Oryza sativa Japonica Group: one gene and its partner. The protein of the gene in region 1 interacts with the protein of each later gene in a pairwise test. Links are inferred from orthologs where the notes say so. Each region holds a gene or a part of one and is shown in the gene's direction. Other genes may lie near its edges. The genes, in order: MADS-box transcription factor 27-like and N-alpha-acetyltransferase MAK3.

What was found.
Region 2: the proteins of MADS-box transcription factor 27-like (region 1) and N-alpha-acetyltransferase MAK3 interact in binary tests that used the Arabidopsis thaliana proteins (3 or more experiments, as listed by UniProt). The link is inferred for Oryza sativa Japonica Group from reciprocal best matches to the Arabidopsis thaliana genes AGL21 and ATMAK3.

Annotation. Positions count from the first base shown.
Region 1 is NC_089038.1:23,540,381-23,543,626, forward strand, and holds the end of MADS-box transcription factor 27-like, read left to right. Parts: exon of another isoform or gene 1-13; intron 14-89; exon of another isoform or gene 90-714; coding exon 715-776; exon of another isoform or gene 777-792; intron 793-1,231; coding exon of another isoform or gene 1,232-1,289; exon of another isoform or gene 1,290-1,438; intron 1,439-1,506; coding exon 1,507-1,606; intron 1,607-1,690; coding exon 1,691-1,732; intron 1,733-1,808; coding exon 1,809-1,892; intron 1,893-1,969; coding exon 1,970-2,124; intron 2,125-2,211; coding exon 2,212-2,230; 3' UTR 2,231-2,437; downstream 2,438-3,246. UniProt on the Arabidopsis thaliana protein: Probable transcription factor.
Region 2 is NC_089045.1:21,021,658-21,026,223, reverse strand, and holds N-alpha-acetyltransferase MAK3, read left to right. Parts: upstream 1-1,737; 5' UTR 1,738-1,808; coding exon 1,809-2,003; intron 2,004-2,106; coding exon 2,107-2,233; intron 2,234-3,734; coding exon 3,735-3,790; intron 3,791-4,011; coding exon 4,012-4,227; 3' UTR 4,228-4,383; downstream 4,384-4,566. UniProt on the Arabidopsis thaliana protein: Probably required for N-acetylation of some chloroplast precursor proteins and efficient accumulation of thylakoid multiprotein complexes.

The DNA of each region.
Region 1 (3,246 bases):
ACAGCTGACAGATCTGTACAGATTTCAGACTAACTGCTTATCTTTCACCGCAATAAAGCTTGTACCAGGATGATATAATCATCACTTACCTGACTTGTGCACTCTGCAGATACTTTGTAGTTAATCTAGCTTGGTGGGACTTGGGAGCATTTTGTTTAGACAAACAAGTTTTTTATCTGACTTGTGCACTCTGCAGATACTTTGTAGTTAATCTAGCTTGGTGGGACTTGGAAGCATTTTGCTTAGACAAACAAGTTTTTTACCTGACTTGTGCACTCTGCAGATACTTTGTAGTTAATCTAGCTTTGGTGGGACTTGGAAGCATTTTGCTTAGACAAACAAGCTTTTTACAATAGGGGGTAACACCCCGCAAAACGAGGACTGATAATGGAGTACCAAATTCAATAGAGTTGGTAGCTCATCGTCTTATCTGGAAAAAAAAACTGTCTTCAAACTGGAAAGATAATACTACTTCCCTTATTTGTTTACAACAAATTTCTTTGTTTGCCTCTTGTTACTTCTTTTACCATACACAATAACTTCCTCAGTTCAAATAGTCTTCTTGTCTAATGTAATTGAGTTTCCTTTTTTTTAAAAAAAAACTAGTGAGTTGATAACCCAGCATGTTTCTATGGGTATACACAACATATTTATATTGCTGCTTTTGGCAAACCTGGATTCTGCATTTCTTGACTCTGTTTTCATATCCAATAGTTCTGGCAAAGGGAGGCAGCAAGCTTGAGACAACAACTGCACAGCTTGCAAGAAAATCATCGGTATGGCCATAAAACCCTGCAAGTTTTTCAATGTTCCATCAGAAAATTCCTCAAGATAGAAAAACATAAACCATCATATATCTACTACTATGAAATACATGCATCATGAACCCTTGATGATGAACTTTTTTTTTTTGTGGGGACTTGCTCATGAATCCAGCAACTGCTAGCGACAATAATACTTCCAGCACCTGATTGTATAGTAAATATAAACTAGTACCAGATCATAAAAACAAGCACCTAGTGCTTGGGTATATGATACTTAGAAAAAAGAAGAAAAAACAGAGTATGAAAGTGATATATGCTGATTCCAAATTTCCTATAGATAATGCATTGTTTAACCTTCACAAACAAAAGAAATGAAGAAGGCACGTGAATTTTCTATATCATTTAAAAGTAAGAAATATATACCTTCAGCCATTCGATTTTTATGCATTTCCGGTTATCTCTAAAAGAAAAACAGAACTGAGCACCCATCAAAGGCGGACAGACCAAATTTACAAAGGAGAGTGAATATCACATTTTCTTCACCTGTGCTTTCTGCCTGGTAAATTATTGTTCAAACACTCCATTTTGTCCTTCAGGCCTAATTTACAATACCTAAACTAGAAAGGTACAAATTATTTTTATTATCAATTAACAGCTGTCTGTTGATCAGCTAAAATTAAGTGTCAATATTCACTCTGTATATCATCAGAACAACACTATAACATCCATTGGTTGATGGCAGGCAGTTGATGGGGCAAGATCTTTCTGGATTGGGTGTCAAGGAACTGCAAACTCTAGAAAATCAGCTAGAAATGAGCATACGCTGCATCCGGACAAAAAAGGTCAACCTACTAACCATATTTTTTTGTTGGGCACCTGATTGATTATATAATGGATTAACTTAAGATCAATATTGTTGTTTTCAGGACCAGCTCATGATTGATGAAATCCACGAACTGAATCGAAAGGTTCTACAACATCATGTACAATTGCTAAATCTTTGAATCAGCTAGTAAGCTAACTCTATTGCTGGCTTATTTGCAGGGAAGTCTCATCCACCAAGAAAACATGGAACTGTACAGAAAGGTCAACCTGATTCGCCAAGAAAATGCTGAGCTGTACAAGAAGGTACTTGATAAATGCAGATAGATGATTTCACAGGATATACGCTTCATTATATGATGACAGCTAATCTCTCTCCTCAGCTCTATGAGACAGGGGCAGAAAATGAAGCGAATCGAGATTCAACAACTCCATACAACTTTGCGGTTATCGAGGAAGCCAACACTCCTGCTCGTCTTGAACTCAATCCCCCAAGCCAACAAAATGATGCTGAGCAAACCACACCTCCTAAACTAGGGTAACTCAGATTTTCTGCACATGATCCATCTATCCATTCTCAGTTCTTTAGTGAAACATCAATTATAACTTAATGAAATTATTGCAGGCTCCAATTGCATCCATGACAATTTATGGTGTGGAAGTGTTGCCTATATTTTCACTATTCTTAAGGGCTACAGTTCAGAGCTCTTAAAATGTATTGGTCATAAAGAAGCTAACACATAACAAGACACAGTTTGCATGCTTGGATGATTAATATCTGATACTGTAAAATCTATTCGAATAAAAATGTATTATCTGAAGAGCCCATGAAAATTATTTTCTTATGACTATTTGGCACTATCTGCAAGTTTGTTTACCCAAATGACAGCTACATGTGTGCAAACTTATTGGCAAAAACAAACAGTGCGCGAAGTGTAGAGCATGCAAGATCAATGCTCTGTTTTATCTTAAAAAGCCATAAGCAGACAGAAGAGATGAAAAGGCATTATAATTTATCTGTGCAGATGTACCAGAACAAGAAAAGTATCAGCAAGAGCGACGCCAGGGGGCGGAGGGGCCTGGCCTCTTCCCACCCCCTCCACCCTTCTATTCTGCTGATGGATTAGCTAGGCACTGTGCTTGCACGTATGTATGTTTAGCAAGAGCGATAAGGTCTTTACTCTAGCCTTGTAGGCACACAACACCATCTATTTCCTTTTCCTTTTAGAATACCGAGTAATATGTACTAATCATTTGTATTATTTACATCACTAGGTGGCTAACATTGAAATTTTAAATTTCTAAAATATTAGTTAATACTTGTAACAGATGGATAGTTTGTTGCTCTTTTTGCCATAATCTAGTTCTTATTTTTTGTTTATTTTTTTCCTGTTTACCTACACTTTTAGCTTGAATGGTACAATCACTGCTTATAATCTGTCTGCTCATAAGGCTAAATTAACCTGCCTGTGTTTTAAATTGTCGTGTGTTTTTTTATACTGATACGGTATATTACCTATGGGGAACATTTAGATTAGCATAAACTTTTCTACGCTATTTTTTTTATAATCTTAATCACTTATAAAGCTGGGCCCCCTCATACTTAGATCCTGGCTTCGCCACTGGGTATCAGCGTTCAATCTTTCTTAATAATTTTAGA
Region 2 (4,566 bases), on another chromosome or scaffold:
ACTGTTGGTGGTTTGTTGTATTGCACATAGGTTGCTCATGAATCTTTGTGTAACTAGCGGGCATTTTGTTAATTGGAGAATTAGTGATAATTTTGTTGATGGCGGGTGAATCCGTCGCCAACGACCATGGGGACGATGGCGGTGGGCCTTGGGCAAGGCGGCGGCGACGGCGGCGGTGGCGGCAACGGTCTCCCAGCCTTGGGCGTCTGGATCCGTCACCGGCGACCGCGGGGACAACGGCGATGGGCCTCGGGCAGGCCGGCAGCGGTGGTGGCGGCTGGATTAGGGTTCCAAGACGGCTTTTGATTTTCACGTGTGGGTGCTTCACTTGCACGAAAAAATCGGATTTTCACAGATACTTCGTTCCAGACAGGCGAAAGATCCGCACGCGAAAACCGCTTTTGACCGCATGGAAAAATCATTATTGTACTAGTGTGCGTACGAAGCAAACTGGGATTGAAAATGTGATGCCATGAATGCAATTTAAATTGAAACGATTTAGGATGATACTTTTTTTAATAAGTATTCAAAGACGAAACCAATTTGATTCAGTATGAGTGGTACTTGGTCTTTCATTTGTAATAATCAACTATATATACTAATTCCCAAAAATTTTAGTCTAAACTTTGTGGAGTTGACACCTCCAAGACCATTCTTATGGGTAAAAAAGATAAGATGTGTTACGAAGATAAAGGTTTTCATGTGGCTCATATTCTGTAATAGGCTAAATACGAGAAATATGCTTGATAGAAAATATTATCCTTAAGAAGATGCGACCTTTTATGAGTGATTTGCTTTAGTACAGAAAAAGAAACTCCCATACAACTTTTTCTTTTCTTGTCCTTGCAGCAGAAATTGTTGGGAGAGAATTGGTACAAAAATGAATGATAACCTAGAACTCTTTCACATGTTGGTCTTGGCAAGAATTAGATTCATAAGAAAGGAAAAATGTTTATTGCAGGCATATCTGAAAATAAAGAAATAGGAAGATCTTTGAGAATATTACTCATGGAATGGAAGTCTTTCTTTGTCCAAGATGAATGACTCTCTTAGCTCCCTGAATTCTTCTTGGTTACAATGGTTATAATTTTATTTCTTTTATTCTTTTCTTGTTTGTACATAACTTTTTTTAATATATATAACAAATAGGCAAGGTCTGGTAGTTATTTTTTTTAATAAAAAGGAAAGTGAAAAGGAAAGGTAAGAGAATGGACAATAGTGTGACGTCAGCATTTGAGAGAAAATGCCACATACAAATTTTTGATGCGGAGGAAAGAAAAGTAGGATATAGGAGGATGTCGTCATATATAATAACTAGAGAATACCCCGCGTGTTCTCCGGGATTCCGAGTCTTAATGCAAGTTGCTGTGGAATTCCACTATAAATAGTCTCCCTTTGTCCCATATTTCTTGTCTTCCAGATTTAGGGCTTCACACTGACACCATAATTTACAATGGTAAATCGATAATTTTGTGGTTGCATTTAGTTTAGTACCAAATATTGATAATGTTTATGGAAATTGGTGACATCACATTTATTCCATCATATCAAAACTTAAACAATTTTATCAACTTACCAAAAATTTTGATTTGACTAAATTTTAAAAAGGTTTATTTTGGTAGTAATAATCTTAAACATGTCCTCGCTAAAGATTGGGGGAGACGTGGAGTACATAGGAGTATGTTCCAGTCTTTAGGTGTGATTGCTTTAAGATTGGTGACGCCACGTGTCAAGATTGTAGAACGGGCGTGGGGTTCAAGTGCCTCTCCCCAACAGGAGTACCTCGTCGGCGACCTGCGGCGGCGGCGATGTCGGCGGCGGCGGCGGAGGCCACCGAGCGGGGCGAGCCCTCGGGCGGAGGCGGAGAGATCGCGTACGTCAGCTACGGCGGGGAGCACCACCTCCCGCTGGTGATGTCGCTGGTGGACGAGGAGCTCAGCGAGCCCTACTCCATCTTCACCTACCGCTACTTCGTCTACCTCTGGCCCCAGCTCACCTTCCTCGTACGCCCTCTCCTCCCCTCACCTCGCGCGCGTGTTTCACAAGAGTTCGTGAGGATTTGATGCGTTCTTGGTTGATTTGATTTGGGGGACAACCCCTCAAAAGGCGTTCGATCCCAAGGATGGCAAGTGCGTGGGGACGGTGGTGTGCAAGATGGGGGAGCACAGGGGGGCCTTCAGGGGGTACATCGCCATGCTCGTCGTGCTCAAGCCCTACCGCGGCAGGGGAATCGGTGAGCCCTCCTTCGATTCTCCAAGAAGAGTTTCTCTGTTTGTTTGATTGGTTGATTGACTGGTTTGTTTCAAAAGGGAGCATATTCTTCCCTTTGATAGTATCTGCACAAGTCTGTCCTGAAAGGAAGCGTAGACCACTCATGAATCTAAATAAGAACTTAAGAATCCTGCTGATTGGGAGGAAAGCAAAGGGTTTTTCAGTTTTTGTTCCAATTCGATCTGAAATGGCTGGCACCTGGTGGAGTGGTGGGCGATTTAGTACGGATTTACAATCTTCCATCGATTTCGATATGATATCCATATGTACTAAATAGGTGTTTTTCCCTTGTTATGCTTGCACAAACTTAATTGAGTATCACTTTTACATGTGTCAAGAAATTACTAGCTATAGGTCTTATAAGTCTAATTTGTTTCATGATCCTTTCACACTACCATTTACTTGTTTTTTCTCTGTAATAGTTGCTTTGTGTTGATATGGTATTATTTTTGTCTTAACATCAGCAAGTGAAATATGTCTGTGTAGCAGAGTGGAACGAAAACTAGCTTACTAAGTGTTACTGGTTTTCTAAAAACGATGCCATGTTAAGTATTTAGTAGGATTTCTTTGTTCTTTGCCTGCTTGATTTGCAGAAAGGAAAGGCATTTTTTTATTTCTTTTATGGGTACAATAGCCTTCTATTGTTCCCTTCTCTTAAACTATATAATCTTCTCTCATCAGTTTCAATTGAGATTTGTGCTATTATTTTGATAAAATGTTAGTTAACTTTGTTTAGGTGGTTTTCTAGTTTTGTGTAGGAGTAGGTATTGTGTTATGAACCAATATTCCCATGTTTAGTTTTCCCTGTGACAGATGTCTCGTGTTGGGTGCTTCAGCGATTCAGTCTGTGGCACATGAGAGCATTTTGGTCGATTAGTTCTTTATGGTTGGAGCCATTTAGCACTTCATCTGATGTTGTAGTATGCAGCCTAACCTTATCGTTACATCAACTTCTTGCATGAGATGATTTCTTCTTAGTGTCATACACTTGGAAGCGTGCTGACTATAATTGATGTAGCAATAAATAGGTGTGGTGCGACTTGCTAATGCATATATCCTGTGTGGGGAGTACATTTTTCATAATACTTTTATCATGAAATGCACACTGATATTTACATATATCTTGGTACAATGGTACAGATAGTCTGTTTATCTGAAAAACATTGCCTTTGTTGTTTCTGTAATGACATTCGCAGCAAGGATCTTGACAGCTTTAATTGTTGAATCCTGCCTGACATGAATGACCTTTCTCGATGTATGAATAGAGTATATGGTAGCTTTGTCATCTGTTAAGAGTATTGCGAAAGCTCCAGCTTCAGTTCGAATAGCTTTCCTGAAGTATACAAGTGCTTTGCTTTTGCAAATGGTCCCCATTTGTCTTTTTTAATTTTATCTGTAATAAGCAATTAAATGGACACTATGTTGGCCTTTATCAGCTAACCCTCTGTTTCTTCATGGTACAGCCACCGAATTGGTTACGAGATCTATTCGGGTAATGATGGAATCTGGCTGTGAGGAGGTAATCACCACTGTGTTGTTATCTTCTCACCCGATGAAAAACTTATTATTATCCTATTGTCGTTTTGGTACCCATCACTTGACTTTCTTGGTGTAAAATTGCTTCATTGATTATTCAATTATGCCCTAGACTAATCTGCAATTTCCATAATAACAATAATATCTTTCGTGAAATTAGTACAAAAATTGAATTATTTGATATCTGACTCACTCTCCAACCAGGTGACACTTGAAGCAGAAGTTACGAACAAGGGCGCCCTCGCCTTATATGGTCGTTTGGGTTTCATCCGAGCAAAGAGGCTGTACAGATACTATCTGAATGGCGTCGACGCATTTCGCCTGAAGCTGCTATTTCCTCGCCCTGATCCTGGTATGCATCCAATGATGATGCTAGGCAATGAGAGAGATGACCAGCACATGGATTCTCCTTACTTGTGATACCATTCTGGTCGATTGATAGGATGAGTTAGGATCCAAGGCATTTTGCTCTTTTATGTCAGTTTGATGATGCTTTTGTAGCTTTGCTGTAACTCTTGTAACATTGATGTGTTCAAAGATAGTATCTTATTTGACATGGCATTATGTTTCTTTCAATCCATGTTAGACGGTTGAAAAAGAATGCCTTATTACATACTCCCTCCGTTTCTAAATATTTTACATCATTGACTTTTTAGCATATGTTTGACCATTCGTCTTATTTAAAAACTTTTGTGAAATATGTAAAACTATATGTATACATAAAAGTATATTTAACAATGAATCAAATGATAGGAAAAG